Linked DNA regions of Cricetulus griseus. The protein of the gene in region 1 binds, or shares a complex with, the protein of each later gene. Links are inferred from orthologs where the notes say so. Each region holds a gene or a part of one and is shown in the gene's direction. Other genes may lie near its edges.

Evidence for each region. Proteins that work in one complex are often made in the same cells at the same time.
Region 2: the proteins of Galr1 (region 1) and Gal are in contact, whole or in part, in a cryo-EM structure (PDB 7WQ3), measured with the Homo sapiens proteins. The link is inferred for Cricetulus griseus from reciprocal best matches to the Homo sapiens genes GALR1 and GAL. Residues at the interface, in NP_001471.2 of Homo sapiens: Glu32, Gln92, Thr94, Val95, Tyr96, Leu98, Pro99, Thr100, His112, Gln174, Phe177, Arg180, Gln184, Phe186, Cys187, Trp188, Glu189, Gln190, Ile266, His267, Ala270, Phe275, Leu277, Ser281, Phe282, Arg285; in NP_057057.2 of Homo sapiens: Gly33, Trp34, Leu36, Asn37, Ser38, Gly40, Tyr41, Leu42, Leu43, Gly44, Pro45, Val48.

Annotation. Positions count from the first base shown.
Region 1 is NC_048595.1:233,138,225-233,146,185, forward strand, and holds the start of Galr1 (galanin receptor type 1), read left to right. Parts: upstream 1-3,816; coding exon 3,817-4,491; intron 4,492-7,961. UniProt on the Homo sapiens protein: Receptor for the hormone galanin. The activity of this receptor is mediated by G proteins that inhibit adenylate cyclase activity.
Region 2 is NC_048596.1:55,827,646-55,835,828, forward strand, and holds Gal (galanin peptides), read left to right. Parts: upstream 1-3,183; coding exon 3,184-3,264; intron 3,265-3,909; coding exon 3,910-3,964; intron 3,965-6,342; coding exon 6,343-6,432; intron 6,433-6,816; coding exon 6,817-6,894; intron 6,895-7,347; coding exon 7,348-7,418; downstream 7,419-8,183. UniProt on the Homo sapiens protein: Endocrine hormone of the central and peripheral nervous systems that binds and activates the G protein-coupled receptors GALR1, GALR2, and GALR3.

The DNA of each region.
Region 1 (7,961 bases):
TGAGTTCTTGAAACTTGAGGCAGGGGGACTGAAAAGTAAATACCAGCACAAACCCTGAGGCAGTTCCAAAACACCAGCAGTGAAAGGAAGACAATGGAACAGAGAAAAGAAAATCATCTACAAAAATTACGAAGGCCATGGAGCCAACTTCTTGGGAACAAAAATAAGGACTGAGGAAAGAACAATTTGGTCAAGTGCTGCTGGATAATAAGGACCAAGCACTTTCCATCATTGTCATACTCTAAAGGAATAATTTAAATTTACTCTCTGATTGAGGGAAAGGGGCTTCCAAGGGGTCAATGGGTTGATGGGTCCAGGAGGCAAAGGCAGGCAGCTACAAGTCTTGGAGAAGGAAATGGGCTTTGGCTGTCTGGTGGTGATCTCCAATAGAGGGGAGTCCATAAAGCAACTTGGCTGCAGAGCCAGGTGAGCTAAGTAGAAAAGTGATGAGAGTTACAGTGATCTGAGGCTGAACTGTTTGGGAGTGAGTCATAACAGTTCATTTTTAATTTCTATTAACTAACGGACAGATAATAGCTCTAGACTCATGTATCCAGCTCTGAATGTCACATTAGTTCAAAATTAAGCCATACAGCTTCACACTTCTCAATCCCATCTGTTTATGGACAAGGCATCTAAAAGGATATAACACTACAATATGACATGTGACAAAGACTGAGAATGGGCAAGAAAGCAAAGGAAGGAAACACAGTAGCTTGGGAGTGAAATGGCAAAAGGACGGCCAGGAGAAACCCCTGTGAGAAGCTGACCTTGGAGCAGAATCTTTCAGAAGTCAGGAGAAAGCTCTCTGGAGGGGGCTATAGAACATTCCAGAGAAGTATCCCAGTTTACCATGTTGAGTTGGCATTGTACAGAAATTAATAGCCATATTGGCCTAGAAATGTTAAACTTACTTTTTTTCCCATTTGCACAGGGGTAACATACTGTATCAAATATGTAAGGTCTTATCTACGTGGGTTTGATTACAAAAACCAATAAAGTAGTCTCTAAATAAATAAATAATTAAAAAGAACATTCCAGGGAAAGAACAGCAGAGGGAGCAGCTTGTAGGAAACGGAACAGAGAAGTGTCCAGGGAATGTCAACAAACCAATTCACTTGGATCCCTGACAGCCACACACAGAAATGGACCAAACTCACCAGTTGGGAAACAGATGGGCACATTGGATTTGAGTCTCTCATTTGTGTATTGCTCTGAGGATATCATAGGATTGGGGAAGAGTGCAAAAAAAACAAAAGACAGATGCAATCCATGTTGCAAACCAAGACAAAATGTAAATCATAGTGCAAACCATATCTCCTCACGCTGCTAAAGCAAAAATGAAACCCTCAATCCCCACCAGAGAATACCATTGAGGGACATAAGCATATATCACATGTACATTTGGAAGTGAGCGACAGACCACACAGGTGACTGTGGTGAGGTTGTCATTAGCATACACAATGTCTTCAAGCATATTGATAAGTTTTTAAGTATCTTAAGATGGGTGGTGCACTTGTGTATATGATGTAACCTCATTATATGCCTGTCACGTCAAAAATAATCCATAGAGGGCCAAAGAAACAGCTCAGAAAACCTGATGACTGAGTTCTATCTCTATCCCCAGAGCCCATGGTGGAAGGAAGTGACTCTTAAAAGGTTTGCTCTGACTGCCATGAGTGCCAGCACACACACACACACACACACACACACACACACACACACACACTCACACACACACACACACACACACACACAAACACACTTATGCACACACACAGGATAGTAATTAATTAATGAAAAGTTTACTCCACATGAAAACAAAAACAAGAGCAAAATCCCTATAAGTTCTTGCTGGGGATATTGATCACTGGTAGAGTGTTTGCCTATCATACCTAAGGCCCTGGATTCAACCACCTTCCAGAAACACACACACACACACACACACACACACACACACACACACACACACACACCAGAACAAATCAAAATAGAAACCCCAAGGCTAAGCCACTCCCTCAAGTCATATTACATATGACCTTTATAGGTCATATGTCATAGAACTAGGGACAGGACAGAACCCTGTGAAGCTGCCGGCCACAGAGTGTTACTGGTGAGAAAGGCAAGGCAACTGATGTCCTTAGGATGCTTAGATGCACGCTAGTAACAGCTGACATGCCCTCCATAAAATGAATACAACGTCTTTTCATAAGGGAGCTTCCTCCATTAAGCAGAAGAGAAAAGAACTAGCAGATATGCACTGTATGGCAAAAGTGTCCCAAGAGAGCTGGTGAGGGGGAGAAATGAGGTCAGACTGTCCCCAGAATCCCCAAGGTACAGTGGCTGCTGCCTCACCATTGTGCACGTTTCCCTGAAGTGCTGGACTGTGCTAGGAGCCAATGTCCTGGGCACAGAGCTTTTCCAGGACCCTGCCTGTGTTTACTCTTCCTCCGGCCTTGTGTCCAACAGTTGTGGTTACGCACACACTGGAGGACCCTGGCTTATTTGAAAGCGACGTAGTTAAGCCCTTCCTACACCGTGTACATGCAATGGCAGGGTTTTCTTTCCGTGTCTACTACCAGATAGGCAGCTGTTTCTAGTTGGTTTGCCCTGGTTTCAGCGGTGGTGGAAGTCCCACACCTCTTTACAAACACACCACTTGTCAAGGCTTCCGTTCGTTCGTGTCACGCAGATGAGTAATGTGTGGTGGAAATGACTGATCTCCGAGGTGTACGGTGTGCGCAGGACACGCTCCTAATGAAAACTCCATTCACCCCTGCCTCTTCCCTGCTCAGCTTGTGACTGGATGAGGGAGGGAAAGAGGCAGCGAATGTGACAGCACCTCCGGTAGCAGGACCAACCTTTTGATTTTTTTGTGAGGTTTATTTCTGCTCTTGCTGGGAGCGGGAAAGACCAGGGTACGGTTGGCAGAAGGGCTGCACAGCCTGTCGCCTCAGCCAGTCGCGCACAGGAGCTTACTCAGCTTGGCTGCCAGTGCGAAGAAGTCTCCTTCGAGGGACCAGAGCAGCTCTCCAACAAGGAGGTGGGCTGCCACCCATCTGGGTGAGGGCGCCCAGGCTCAGAGAACAAGCTGTGCTTTTTCAGGAGGGACTCCGGAGGCACAGGGGAGACGCAGTTGAGTTCTTACTGCTCGCCGCCCCCGCCCGCCCCCCCCCCCCCCGTGCAGAAGAAACTCTGCCCGCCACTGGGAACCCCAGAGAGAGGTTTGCCCTGCAGAAGACCAGGGAGAAAGCAGGAGGGAGCCGCAGCGCAGCGCAGCGCTTAGTGTGGGAAGCTCAGCGACTCTGCACTATCCAAGGTGTGCAGCACAGTGCCCTGACAGCTCGCTTGGATAAAGAGGCTCAGAGCAACAGGTGCGACCCCACGGCACTGCGGGAGCAAGGGGACACGGCCAGAAAAGGATTAGAACCGGTAAGGCGCAAAAGACCAGGCTGATCGCGTGGTCGAGTCCTATCAGCCCAGCTCGCAATCGGAGGAGTCACACAGAGGACCAGTACCTCTTGTGTTGTGGAGTCCACCGCCCCCGCATGGGAAGGTTCAACTAGGTACTTGCAGCACCGCCCCCTCTGTAGCCAGGCCAGGCACCAAGGACAGTTTGACCAGGCGCGGCCCGGGGCGCTGCCCCCTGCTCTCTTTTCAGGTTGCTGGGGGTTCTGGCTGGAGATACACGCTCTCACTGCACTGTGCCGAGACACCCGGAGATTCTCAGCTATCCCCAGAGCCCGCCTTCCCTGCCTGGCACTCCTTCCCAGCGCTTTCCGTTGCATAGACACCCAAGGGGTGTGCCAGTAAGTGATGGAACTGGCTACCTTGAATCTCAGCGAGGGGAACGAGGGGAACGGGAGTGATCCAGAGCCTCCCGCGGCTGTGGAGTCCAGGCTGCTGTTTGGCATCGGCGTGGAGAACTTCATCACGCTGGTGGTGTTCGGCCTGATATTCGCGATGGGCGTGCTGGGGAACAGCCTGGTGATCACTGTCCTGGCGCGCAGCAAACCTGGCAAGCCGCGCAGCACCACCAACCTGTTCATCCTCAACCTCAGCATCGCAGACCTGGCCTATCTGCTCTTTTGCATTCCCTTCCAGGCCACCGTGTACGCACTGCCCACTTGGGTGCTGGGCGCCTTCATCTGCAAGTTCACACACTACTTCTTCACTGTATCCATGCTCGTGAGCATTTTCACCTTGGCCGCGATGTCTGTGGACCGCTACGTGGCCATCGTGCACTCGCGGCGCTCCTCCTCCCTCAGGGTGTCCCGCAATGCGCTGCTGGGCGTGGGCTTCATCTGGGCACTGTCTATCGCCATGGCCTCACCAGTGGCCTACCACCAGCGTCTCTACTATCGGGACAACAACCAAACCTTCTGCTGGGAGCTTTGGCCCAACCAGCTCCACAAGAAGGCTTATGTGGTGTGCACTTTCGTCTTTGGCTATCTCCTGCCCTTACTGCTCATCTGCTTTTGCTATGCCAAGGTGAGTGGGGAGCACTGTCCCCCCGACCAAGCCTCTAGCATCCTGCTCCTCTGCTCCTTCTACCTCTCCATTCCATTTTGTCTCAGCTTGCTCTATAATGATTTGTGACACAAGAAAGTTAACTTAGAGTTTGAGAGGTACTGGGGAGAGTTCGCATTCCTGTCTAGAGAGACTTTCATTCTGCTTTTCTTCAAGGGCACTGCAGCTCTGCCTCAGGTGGCCTCACAAAGCACAGAGGCAGGTGTGTGTCCCAGATCTGCTGGGACACACCATGGGTGGAAGGGCAGCTGCTGTTTCCCAGCAAGGTTTTGTGGACAGCGTTGGGGATCCAGGTGGTGAGCTTGGTCTGGAAAGGGGCAGCAAGAACACACAGCGAGGGGAGCTATATGATTATCTATCTTGTCGTCATGATTTTGGAAGAACCTGTGGCTCACAACTCCTAAGGAATTGCAGAGAAATGGGCATTTACATTAATCAAAAGTCTTAGACTTCTCAATCACCACCTGATGCACCATTAATCATCCAGAGTGTATTTTTAGTGGCCACTTGATGAGGTTCTTGAGATAACCTCAATGTCATATCTCTTTTTAGGGTACTATGAGAACTAGCGGGGAAGGGGGGAATCCCTGCAAGGCAAATTCTAAAGTTTCCATGCAACTTTATCCTTCATTGACTCCCAATCTTTTGGACTGTGGGCAGTAGGACCATAAACAACTTCCTATCTAGAAAAGCAATGGTTTCTTACATCCCACTATAAGGTACATCTCCACCAGAAAAATACATTTAAAAGAATCCATCTTCCCCACGTCTATGTGATCAGTATGTCTTTTGAATGGCCATATTACTTAAATGAATACACTGGCTCCCAAGATGCTTGTACAGCCTAGCTGTCAGGAAGTAGCCAATTTATTCCTTTGGTCTTTTCAAATGCAAGGCAAAGACTTCTATGCACAGTGAGTTGTGGGGCATGCACACACACCCATGAGCTTGGTCTTCGAGCCTCTGGGTGGGAATTGCCATCTCTATCTTATTAATAAGAGGACTTTCAGAGGGATGCAACAACTGACCAGATGGTGAGTCTGGTAAAAGAAGGGGTTTCAGGAGATGACAATTAATTGGCCTCTGGAGGACAGGGGCTGGGAACTAGAGCTGTACTTAAAATATTGCTCTTTTAAATTCCTAACTGCTACTTTGAAAAGGAAACACAGGCTCTCTTCATCCCCTGCCCCAAGTCCCTAGGGGGAAAACCATTTCCATCTTTGTGGAAATGAAAAAGTAAACTTTTAGGACTAAACAGGCTGTCAATAAAGAGTCTACAAAAGTCCCACAGAAGACAAAGTCTAGGAACTAATGAATGGGTGAAAATTTGACTATTTTTTCATCCAGAAATAGTTGGCTTCTCACCAAGTAGTCTAGCTGCAAACATCTTTTGAGTCAATGTTAATACTTGCACATTTATTCCAGGCCCTAAATAGCTACAGATAAGAGACCTGGAGTTGCTGTTTTCTGTCAGGCAGTAAGTAAGTGTCATCTAGTTAATGACTCTAGAACTTGAGTGCCAGGTTCTGAACTGGCTATATGTCCAAGGAATTGGGCCAACTCGAGGAACCACAAATGGCCAAAATAACACTTGAGATTGGTGTGTATTTTAGATTTTTCTTTTTAAAAAATCAATGAATAAATTGCATTTATTCATTGATTCAGAGATGATCTTCTCAGCTGTGTTTAGTGAGACAGCTCTTTGCACCTCAAAGACCCTGGAGAGCATAGTGAGTTGGAGCAGCCTGTGTTCTTCAAGACGGCTCCTCTCTGCACTGTAGGGCTCTTGACTGCCACTCTCTGTCCTCAGCATGCATTCTGCTTAGAGCCCTCCTAGGTCTGAAGTGAGGGCATGCCCACTATGCTCATTGTCTCCAGAGATAAAATCATAAGTGGTCCCAATGTCTACAATCTCTTGCTTGATGGCAGGACCTTGTGCCACTATGTGCTTATAGCCTGAGCTGTGGAGGGAAAACAGAGCTAAGAAGAACACATTTGGAATCATCTCTGTGGACTGATCAGCAAAGTCAATATGCTTAGGTGCTGCAGAATTCCTGAACTGGAACCCAACTTAGTTGGCCTGACTATGTAAACCCAGTTAACATCAAGAAGTATGCCACCCATACTTATGCCTTTAGTGAACTCTTTCAGCATATCCGTATTCTTTTCCTTGTGACCCACAGTACTGTGATGTCTGTTCTTTAGACAACTCCCTCTAGGGATTCAGCATCACTGGTGACATATGACCATCTTGCAGGTTTTGCACTTAGCATATCTGTTTTTGCTTTAATAAGTCTGCAAATATTAACATCTATGCAAAAGATGGTTTCCAGCTAGAATAGCTGCTTAGAGGCTACTCTGTTCTCTTGCTACTATCATATTTGGGAGAGATGCTGTGAATGTTGTTGTTGCTGTCATATATAAGAATTTACAATCATGCCAGCTGTTGTCAGCTAGCTGGACTGTCCTTTCCATCAGCAGGCTCCTGGCTCCAGCCTCACCTCCCTCTTACAGGCTTTTCTCATTGCTGCTATTGAAAACCCCTCGGTGACTGCCTTCTATGTACTTTCTGTTGGCAGGACAGAGCTACTTCACTGTCAATGCACCAGCAAGTTGTCCACTTGCTCCCATAGTAAGCAGAGGCTTGTGTGGCTGACAGACACTGATGTGTTTTCAGCAGTGAGAGGTGTCTTGGTAAGGCAGGGAATCTGAAGGCAGAGACTCACACCAGAGACGGTTGCTTGGTTGTCGGCTCTGACTGCTAGGGCAGGGAAGGCTGGTAAATGAATCCTGAGGTTTCTCAATTAGGATGTGACTGATGGTGCTGCCTCTGTCAGAGTGGAGAAGGCTTCAGCGGCGGCCAGGCCAATTCGATTACATTATTTCCATGCTGTGGTGTTGGAGGAAAACATCCAAGTTGCTTGAACATGCGTCCATGTCCTGAGAGCCTTTTCAGAAACCTGCAGCCCATTTCAAGCTCTTTGCCATTTATTCCCAGTTCTCCAACAGAATAGAGAAAATAAGCCTTGGGCCAGCTCTGCAGGTTACAAACCGGGGAGCAAGTTCAGACTGTAAATTCCCATATATAATTGATATAATTTCTCCCAAATATCACAGTGGCAAGAGAACAGAGTGGGTTCTCAATGAATGAAAGCTACCTTACCTCACTGACAGGTATGGTAAGGGTAAAACCTGCAATCATCACCAACGATGCCGAATTCCTAAAAGGGGGGTTATGTCTAAGGGCCACATAGTGAGACTGGAGAGATGGCTTAGCTGCTAAAGGCTAGGCTTACAACCAAAAATATAAGACCACACAGTGTTTGAATTACACAAGAAAGCAGCGTTGCTAGCTGGTGCTTTGCTCGAAGAGATCTGTAATGGGAGAGGTTTGTAGCAAGTATTGAAACTGGCACAGGACAGGGGAATCC
Region 2 (8,183 bases), on another chromosome or scaffold:
CACTGAACCACACTCCCAGCCCCTAGCTGAGAGATTCTAAGGACGTGGTCTGCTCCTGAACCACAACCCTAGCTCCAGCTTCTGTTCCCCCATCCCAGAGAATTATTTGGAGATTTTTTCCCCCCAAAGACCACTGTGTTACTAGGGTCAGGTTAGAAGGAACTGGGCCAGTAGAAACAGGTGGAAGAGAGTCAAGCACGTCTTCAGGGTGAAGGTTGGACAGTTTCAGATCATCTAACCATTCTCTTGGTTGCTTCTCCGGTCATAATGAGATCACAGTGGGGTACAGGGCCGCTTCTCAGTCTGGTGGCTCTTCCCAGCCTCTCCTTTCATGAGTCCATCTTCCCAGCATGGCCAGAAATGGTGATGACTTATTCTCCCATTTGTTTGTCTGTGCTCATTTACCCATCAGATGGCGAATGTTTTGTGGGAAATGCCGATCACAGTAGCTCCAGATGCATCAACTGTAAAACTCCAAATAACACGGGCTTGAATAAAAAGTGGACTTTGTTCTGAAACACGCCTAGAGGCAGGCAGCAAAGGATCTGGTTTCAGGTACCCATAATCACAGCTCCTTCAGTCTGGTTGTCTACCATAGCCATCACCTTGGGCTCCAAATAGTTGCTTCCCTCCAGCCAGGAGGAAGAAGCAAAGGAAGACTGAAAAGAGGCATACCCACATGGTGTCCTCCACCTGGAATGTGTGGGGCCCGGGCTCTTCATTGGGACATATCTACCTGCTTGTTAGCTCTGGATTCACAGACCTTCTCACCATAACGGTTATTTGGAGAACGGTTGTATATTCAGGTCTGCACCAGATTGGAGTTCCCCTGGGGGCAGGCCCCTCTGTTTCAGAACCACAGCTGCAGTGCCAGGGCACTGCTGATACAGTCCCAAGTGGGATGCTGTTCTTGAGCCCCCGGGTCTTTGGTGTTCAGGTTTGGGTAGTTTTTCTTGGTGGCAGCGGCAAGCAGAGCTTCTGAGAAAGTCTGGACTTACAGGTAGGAAAATGACACTTTGTGTTTCATGTCCATTACTCTAATGGTGACCCATTTTGCTAGCTACATGCTGGGCCGCCTTGAAGATGACAAGTTGACAATGATTCCATTGGGTCATTGCTGAGTGAAGAGCCCATTAGAATAAGGCCTTGGGTTCCAGCACAGCATGTACCAGGAAGGAGGGTGCTGTTATCCTGTACCCTGTCCTCATTTGTAGGAGCGAGTTTATCAGTGATGTGGCAAGTCACAGCCCTGTCCTGTTTCTACCTTCCGGTGTTTCCCCAGTAGGTGCCAGGCACTCCAGAGGTTGGACAGAAACCTCATCACCCAACCAAAATGGGGAGCAGTGATAGCAGGGGCCACCCCAAGTGGTGGAAACACCCTGGAGGGGAGTGACGTTGAAGGGTGAGCTTTGAGTCTGGCCCCAGTCTTCCACATAGCTTCCTTCCTTTTCTCCGTTTTTTTAAAAAGACAGGGCTTCATTTATTCCAAGCTGGCCTCAAGCTCACTGTATAGTGGAGAACAACCTTAAAACTCCTGCCTCTCTCAGCCTTCCCCATGCTGAGGGTACAGGTGCATACCACCACACCCAGCTTGCTATAACCTCCTTAAATGAATTCCTAACACGAAAGTATTTAATTAGGGCCATGTCTGGTTGCCCTGTGAGACATGTTAGGAGAAATGATCACTGGGTAGTCTTGGCTCCTGTTGGTTTTTGTTTTGTTTTGTTTTTAACCTTTTGAGATGGGATCTGGCCACATTACTCAGGCTGGCCTTGAACTTTTAGGTTCAAGACACCATCCTATCTTAGCTGAGACAGCTGAGTGGCAGGCTGTTGCCACTGTGTCTCAATGGTTATGGGACAGACACTCACTTGGTCTGTTTTCCCCTTTATCCCAGCTGCTTCTGATCAGGGGGACACATTGGGGCTCTGCCTTCTGGTCAGCTGACTGAGATCTCAGTGGCCAATGTGAGAGGTACTTCCCTCTCCCTCTGTTGAGCCTCCCATGGGGCCTGATGGCTGGATGTTCAGGCCCTAGCCTGCCCAAGGTTGGATTTCCCTGGAGTCTAGGGGAGATGTGGGCAGAGGAGTGTTGTCCACCTATTGGTTTTGAACATTTGCAAAACAAGAGGGGTTGAAGACAAAGTATCATTTCGTTAAAAGGAGGGCCGGCAAGATGGCTTAGTGGGCAAAGGTACTCAGTACAAGACTGGAAATCCAGAACTACGTAAATATCAGAGATAACTAGCTTTCAGAGTTGTCCCTTGACTCCCACGTGTGCCATGACACACACGCCCAGGTGTGCTGATCCAGTGTTCCAGCACTCTATGGCCTTCCTGTCCATGTGGCCAGCCACCCTCCACTCTGCCCGCACCCCTGAATGGCTGCCCCCCCTCCACCTTCAGCAAAACAGGAGTGGAGGTCCCTGGTCCCTGGGTAGGGAAGCTGCAGGTGGAGAGCAGGACCTGGGAACTTGGTTTTTCAGGAGGTGCCCCGGACTGTGACTGGCCTCGCTTGGGATGTTGAGTGGTCCTTCCAGCCCCAGCCCTGGGAAGGAGAGTAAGACTCCTCGCCAGCCTCAGGATGGGGGTGTCAGAGTCACTCTTGTTTGAGCACCGGGTTGGAACATTGGGGGAGGAGCTCTGTGATGCAGGGATGGCTCGGGTGACGGTCTGGGACTGGGGGTGGTCCTCTCCTTCTCCCAGGAGCGGTTCCTGTCACTGCGGCCCTTGGGACTCGCGGGAGGCGGCGCTGAGCGGGTGACGCGGCAGCTCCCAGCTCCCGTGGGGCATAAATAGCAGCGACAGCGCTGCTCCTGCTGCGGACACGTCGAGGGATCCTCGCACGCTTTCTCACGCTGCTGCTCTGTGCCATGCGGTGAGCGAATCGCCCGTCTGCCAGGCCACGTCCGGACAGAGACACCCCTACCTGCGCCTACCAGCCACGCCCAGTTCCCACCGCTACTCAAGGTACCTGCGTCCCAATGAGCTGCGCCAGACCCGAGTCCTCGGGTGGCTGGCCGTCCCGTCCCTGCCCCTGCCCCTCACAGCTTGGTCCCTATCGTCCGGCCTCTCCCACCATCCTGCCACTCCCACATTCCTGTCCGCAGTCCGAATGGCCCCCAGAGATGTGCATGTGCAAGGCCGCTTAGATGGTGTCAACTCGTTCACTTCTCTCCTTCCAGATGGCCAGAGGCAGCGCCCTCCTGCTAGCCTGGCTCCTGTTGGCTGCTACCCTGTCAGCTACTCTGGGGCTTGGGGTGCCAGTAAGTGCTGATGACAGACGACCACTAAAGAGGACTAAGGGGGTCAGACGTGAGGATCAGCCTGGAGCAAAGGATGGTTCATTCTCCCCACAGCAGGGGTGGGGTGGTGGGGAGGGTCCCAAGAGAACGGCTGAGGACCAGCTGGGCACTGACAAGCTCAAAATGGCTCTATTCATAGGGGCCCAGGCTTGTAATTCCAGCGCGCAGGAGGCAGGTGGAGGCGGGAGGATCAAAAGTTCAAGGCTGGGACTCCCCTACATAGCAATATTAGGCCAGCCTGGGCTATTCCCGGGCTGTCTCAACAAAACAGCAAGGAAAAGGCTCCTATTTGTTGGCCAACAACTGTGGTAAACAGACTAACTCCTCCAGAGATTGGGGGTGCTAGAGGCACAGCCCTCAGCCCTGAGGCTGCTCAGGAGAAAGTCTGCCTGCCACCTGGCTCTGAAGAGAGTACTAGGAGTTACCATCTGAGCCCTGCTCTGATTTGAACATTTGGACCCAGAATTAGTGGATGCAGCTGTGTGTTCAGGTCAAATGCTGTCACTCAGGGCAGCCTGGGTGCCTAGGCTTCTCTGTGCTGGGCTGGGCTACTCTGCTCTTCAGCCCAGGGACCTAGGCTGTCTGACCCATGCCATCCTATTTTAGGCGAAGGAGAAGAGAGGCTGGACCCTGAACAGCGCTGGCTACCTTCTGGGCCCACGTGAGTGATGTAGGGCTGGGTGGCTGAGGTTTTGTGGGTCCTGATGTGACTATGGGAACCAGGCACTGTTCTCATAGTCAATTTACTCTCAGATGAAAACCAGGGGGCATTCCCATGTGGCTGTGGGGACTGTGGGTTTCCATTAGCCAAACCACTGCAACTTAAAACACCTGCTGAAATGCCTTACCCCTCCAGCCTCCAGCTCTTATAGCCGTTGAGCTCATTCCTGGGGTCTCCTGGAAACCCCAGTGCCTACCCTCCTCGATTTATCTTGCCTCTGAGCCTGCTCTGGTCTGAACCTTTCTCTTCCACTTCTCAAAGCTGCCCTGCCCCACTCAGCACCTGATACCTCTGGGCAAACCAGGGACTGCCCATTATTGCTCTGCACATTTAAACTCAGCACCTGTTCCTTCTAGAAGTTTCTTCTGATTTGGGCTTCTTGGGGAGTCTTCCAGGACTCCTTGGAGTTCTGATTGGGTCTACTCTCTGAGTCCCTGGGTCTTACTAACACCCTCTTCTACTTCCTGGAATCCTGAAGCTGCCCTCTGAGCTCTAGAAGGGAACTCTGACAAAGGTAGCCAGATGTCTCATCTTAAGACTCACCTGAGCTGGTTTCTTTCTTGCTCAAACATTTTCCCCCAGTCCCAGCCCCAAGGTCACCCCAGCACCTTACACTAACACTAGTCTTGTCCCTTCAGCACAGGTCCCACTCTATGTCACTAGTGCTTTTTCTGCATTCGTGGCTGGGGAGGATTAGAATCTGAGGCTTTGCATGGAGTGGGGTGGGGCAGATCACCCAAGTGGTGTTGATGACACATCCATCACATCTCACTGTCGTCACCCTGTGGGGAATGGAGGTTGATGCTTGGCCTTCTTTGAGTTTGATGTTTGTGTAGTGTGAATGTTTTGTTACCTGTGACCACCAGAGACAGGGTCTTTGCTTGAGGCTGTGGAGTCACCAAGGGGCAAAGACAGCTCTGCAGGGACAGGCAGCCACAGAGGGGAAAGGTGCTTGCAGACAGCTGGAAGATACTGGCTCCCTCCTGAGAGTTGCCTAGTTAGTTGCTTAGCTGTTGTGGTTTTTAAATTCACATGCACAGCTGGCTCTGAGACACCTGTACCCATTTGCTGGCCCCTGGCACTTGGGTAGAAACAAAACATCCATCCATCCACCCCTATCCTCAGTCCACCAGAGGGGAAGGGACAGTGGAGTGGGGGCCCGTGCCTCTGAGCCTGTGTTGCATGAGGCCACATGTTCACACTGCAGATGTGTGTGCTCATCCTTCAAGAAACAAAGCATAGGGTTGACAAATCTGCCTGGGGCCCTGTGCAGGGTCCACATAGTCACCTGATTCCTGGAAAGATCTCCTAGCCCGGGATTGTGGAGAGGTCTGCAGACTGGTTCCCAGAGTCCTCACAGGTATGAGCCTGGTACTGACCCTTGTCACGTTACAATATTGAAAATGTTATCTGGAAGACTTTGAGCCAGAATAGAAAACTTGTTCCCACTGTCAAGTTCATGCAGCCATCCAGCTGGGTCAGCAGGTGCACTGTGGACTGCCAGGTGTCAGGTACTTTTGATGCCACCAAGGTGTGGCAGGTTTTGAAAGGCCAGAGCTGTTGGGATGTGGATGCCTCAGGGAGGAGCTCCAAAATGAGACAATGTAGCTACTCCACGAATTTAGCCCTAAACTCTGGCTCCGTTGAACTCACTGGCCTTTTTGTTTAGCTTGGCTAAGTGAGCTAAGCGGCCAGAAGTCCTGAGCCTCATCCATGTCACCTATTTTGTCTCCTAAGTCGCCCCCTCCAGCCTCTGTGTACCATCTCTCAATACTTGTCAGCTGCCATTTCTTTCCTGGACTCTGACCTCATCTCTTAGGGACCTCTGCCATAGCCACAGTCACAGCTCTCTGCACCCCCATTCCCTGGATACCCCACCTTCCCTGGATGTAATCCTCCTACATGGGAGTGGTCCTTGAAAATAACAGTCTGTTATTTCTCCAATGTCCTAGTTTCCTGGGATGCGGAGACCCAGGTTCTGTTATCTTTCTTGGAGGTATTTCCTAGGAGCCAGCTCCTGTCTTTGGGGCCAGCCACCTCCTGGGATGTTCCCAGCTGCACCTGGCACCTGTTTCTGTCGGAGACATCTACTTCAGTGCCTACCCCTCCTTACCATCAACCTCTCTCTTCCCATTGGAGTCCCAGTTCCCTGTGATCACCACCCTCACCCAGGGACCCTGGAGACATTGCTTCCCTCTTCTGGGGTGTCCACACACTGGCTTTATGCTGGTGGTCCAGCTGTGTGTGGTCTTCCCCTGGGGATGGAAATGGGATAAGCCACAGTGACAGCAGGCCCTTCCTCTCTGGTCTGCAAACAGATGCCATTGACAACCACAGGTCATTTAGTGACAAGCATGGCCTCACAGGCAAGCGGGAGCTACAACTAGAAGCGGAGGAAGGAAGACCAGGTAAAGCTGGAGTCCTTGGATGTGCATCCCGTCACTACCGGGACTCCCGGGTGCATGTGGGGATATGGTGGTGACACCTACCACTATCCTGCCTCCAGTCACAGCCTGGGGCTGTCCTGGCCAGGCAGGACCTGGGAGCAACCTGGGAGCCTGTGGCCTCACACACCTCTCAACTGGCAGGACTGGGGAGCAGAGTCATGGGCATGCAGCTACAACAAGGGAGCTGGCCATGGAAAAGCTGGTTCAGGGTCCCTTCACCTCTCTAGCAAGACCCTGGATGGTCTACAATGCCCCCAGGCTCTCAGCCAGCCTCCCTGGCTTCTGATGGGTAATAGGAGGGTGGTGAGGAAATAGGCCACGACACAGTTCTTTTCCATTGTCTAGGAAGTGTTGATGGACCACTGCCTGAGAGCAACATTGTGCGCACCATAATGGAGTTTCTGAGTTTCCTGCACCTTAAAGGTATGGGAATATTTTCCATCTAAAATAGCACGAGCTCGAGTACACACACACACACACACACACACACACACACACACAGTATTTTAAAAAGTAAAACCTACCAACCAGGTGGGGGACTGTGGGCAAGCTGATATCATTAGAGCCCCAACCCAGGTCCTCAGACCTCTAGGGAGTTTTTAGGGCTTTCTGCAGATCTCTGGGTGACTACTGCTGCTGAGGGTGCCTTGGCTTTGCCAGGGGCTTCTGTGTTTCCGTTTGGTTTTGATCTTAGACACTAGCTTCACAACTACTATGGTCTACCCTCTTTCAAGAGTGGACAGTCTTTCAGAGGTGAGACACACAGATGCTGTCCCAATTCAAGGTCCCCACAGTAAGACCTCACCCCTCTCTATGGGTACGGCCACATGATTCTCTCTCAAGCTAACTACCTGACTGCCATTCTTCCTTATTCAGAGGCTGGGGCCCTCGACAGCCTGCCTGGCCTCCCTTTGGCCACCTCCTCAGAAGACCTAGAGCAGTCCTGAGACCACACCCACCCAGCACCTGTCCTATGCTGTAATATAAAGTCACTCTAGATAGAATCTTCTGCCAACTCCTCAAGCAAACCCTCTGTTCTCTGCTTTGACGCTATGTTGTTATAATTAAGATGTTTTGATTGGAGTGATTATATTGTGTGACACAATAAAGACTAGCAAGTACCTGGGACTGTTTGGCTCTTCTGTGCTGCAGCCCATTACCTCCTGTGTGGTTATTTCTTTATTATATATATGCACATGTGCACCTTGGGGACTGAACTCAGATCATCAGGCTTGGCAGTAGGTGCCTTTACCTGCTGAGTCATTTCTTTGGCTCCCCCACCAGTATGTTTTAAAAGGTAACAGCAGATATCTACCCATGCTTTAGGTGAGATTTAACCCCAAATTCCACATGGACTGCAGAATACCTGTCGGCTCTTGCTGTGCCCAGAACAGTTATCTCCATGCTCAGCTCAGTCTGATGTAGCTGACTAGTGTGCTGCTGGCACAAACAAAGGCACAAATGGGTGCAACCCCAACCTGGAGCAGTGGCTATGAAGACAGGAAGAGAACTGGCTCTAAGCAGAAAGCAGATGATACCAGAAGATCAGAAATGAACATAGGTAACAGACAGCCAGGTACCCAGGTGCTAGATTGAGCTGAGCCTTTCCTTCTGTGTCTCCCTGGCTGTAGGGCAGGCTCTCACCTTTGGTCTCACGTGGCTATGTGTCCTCTACAGAACAGGGGAGATGAAAGGAGACCACAGAGGCTCCA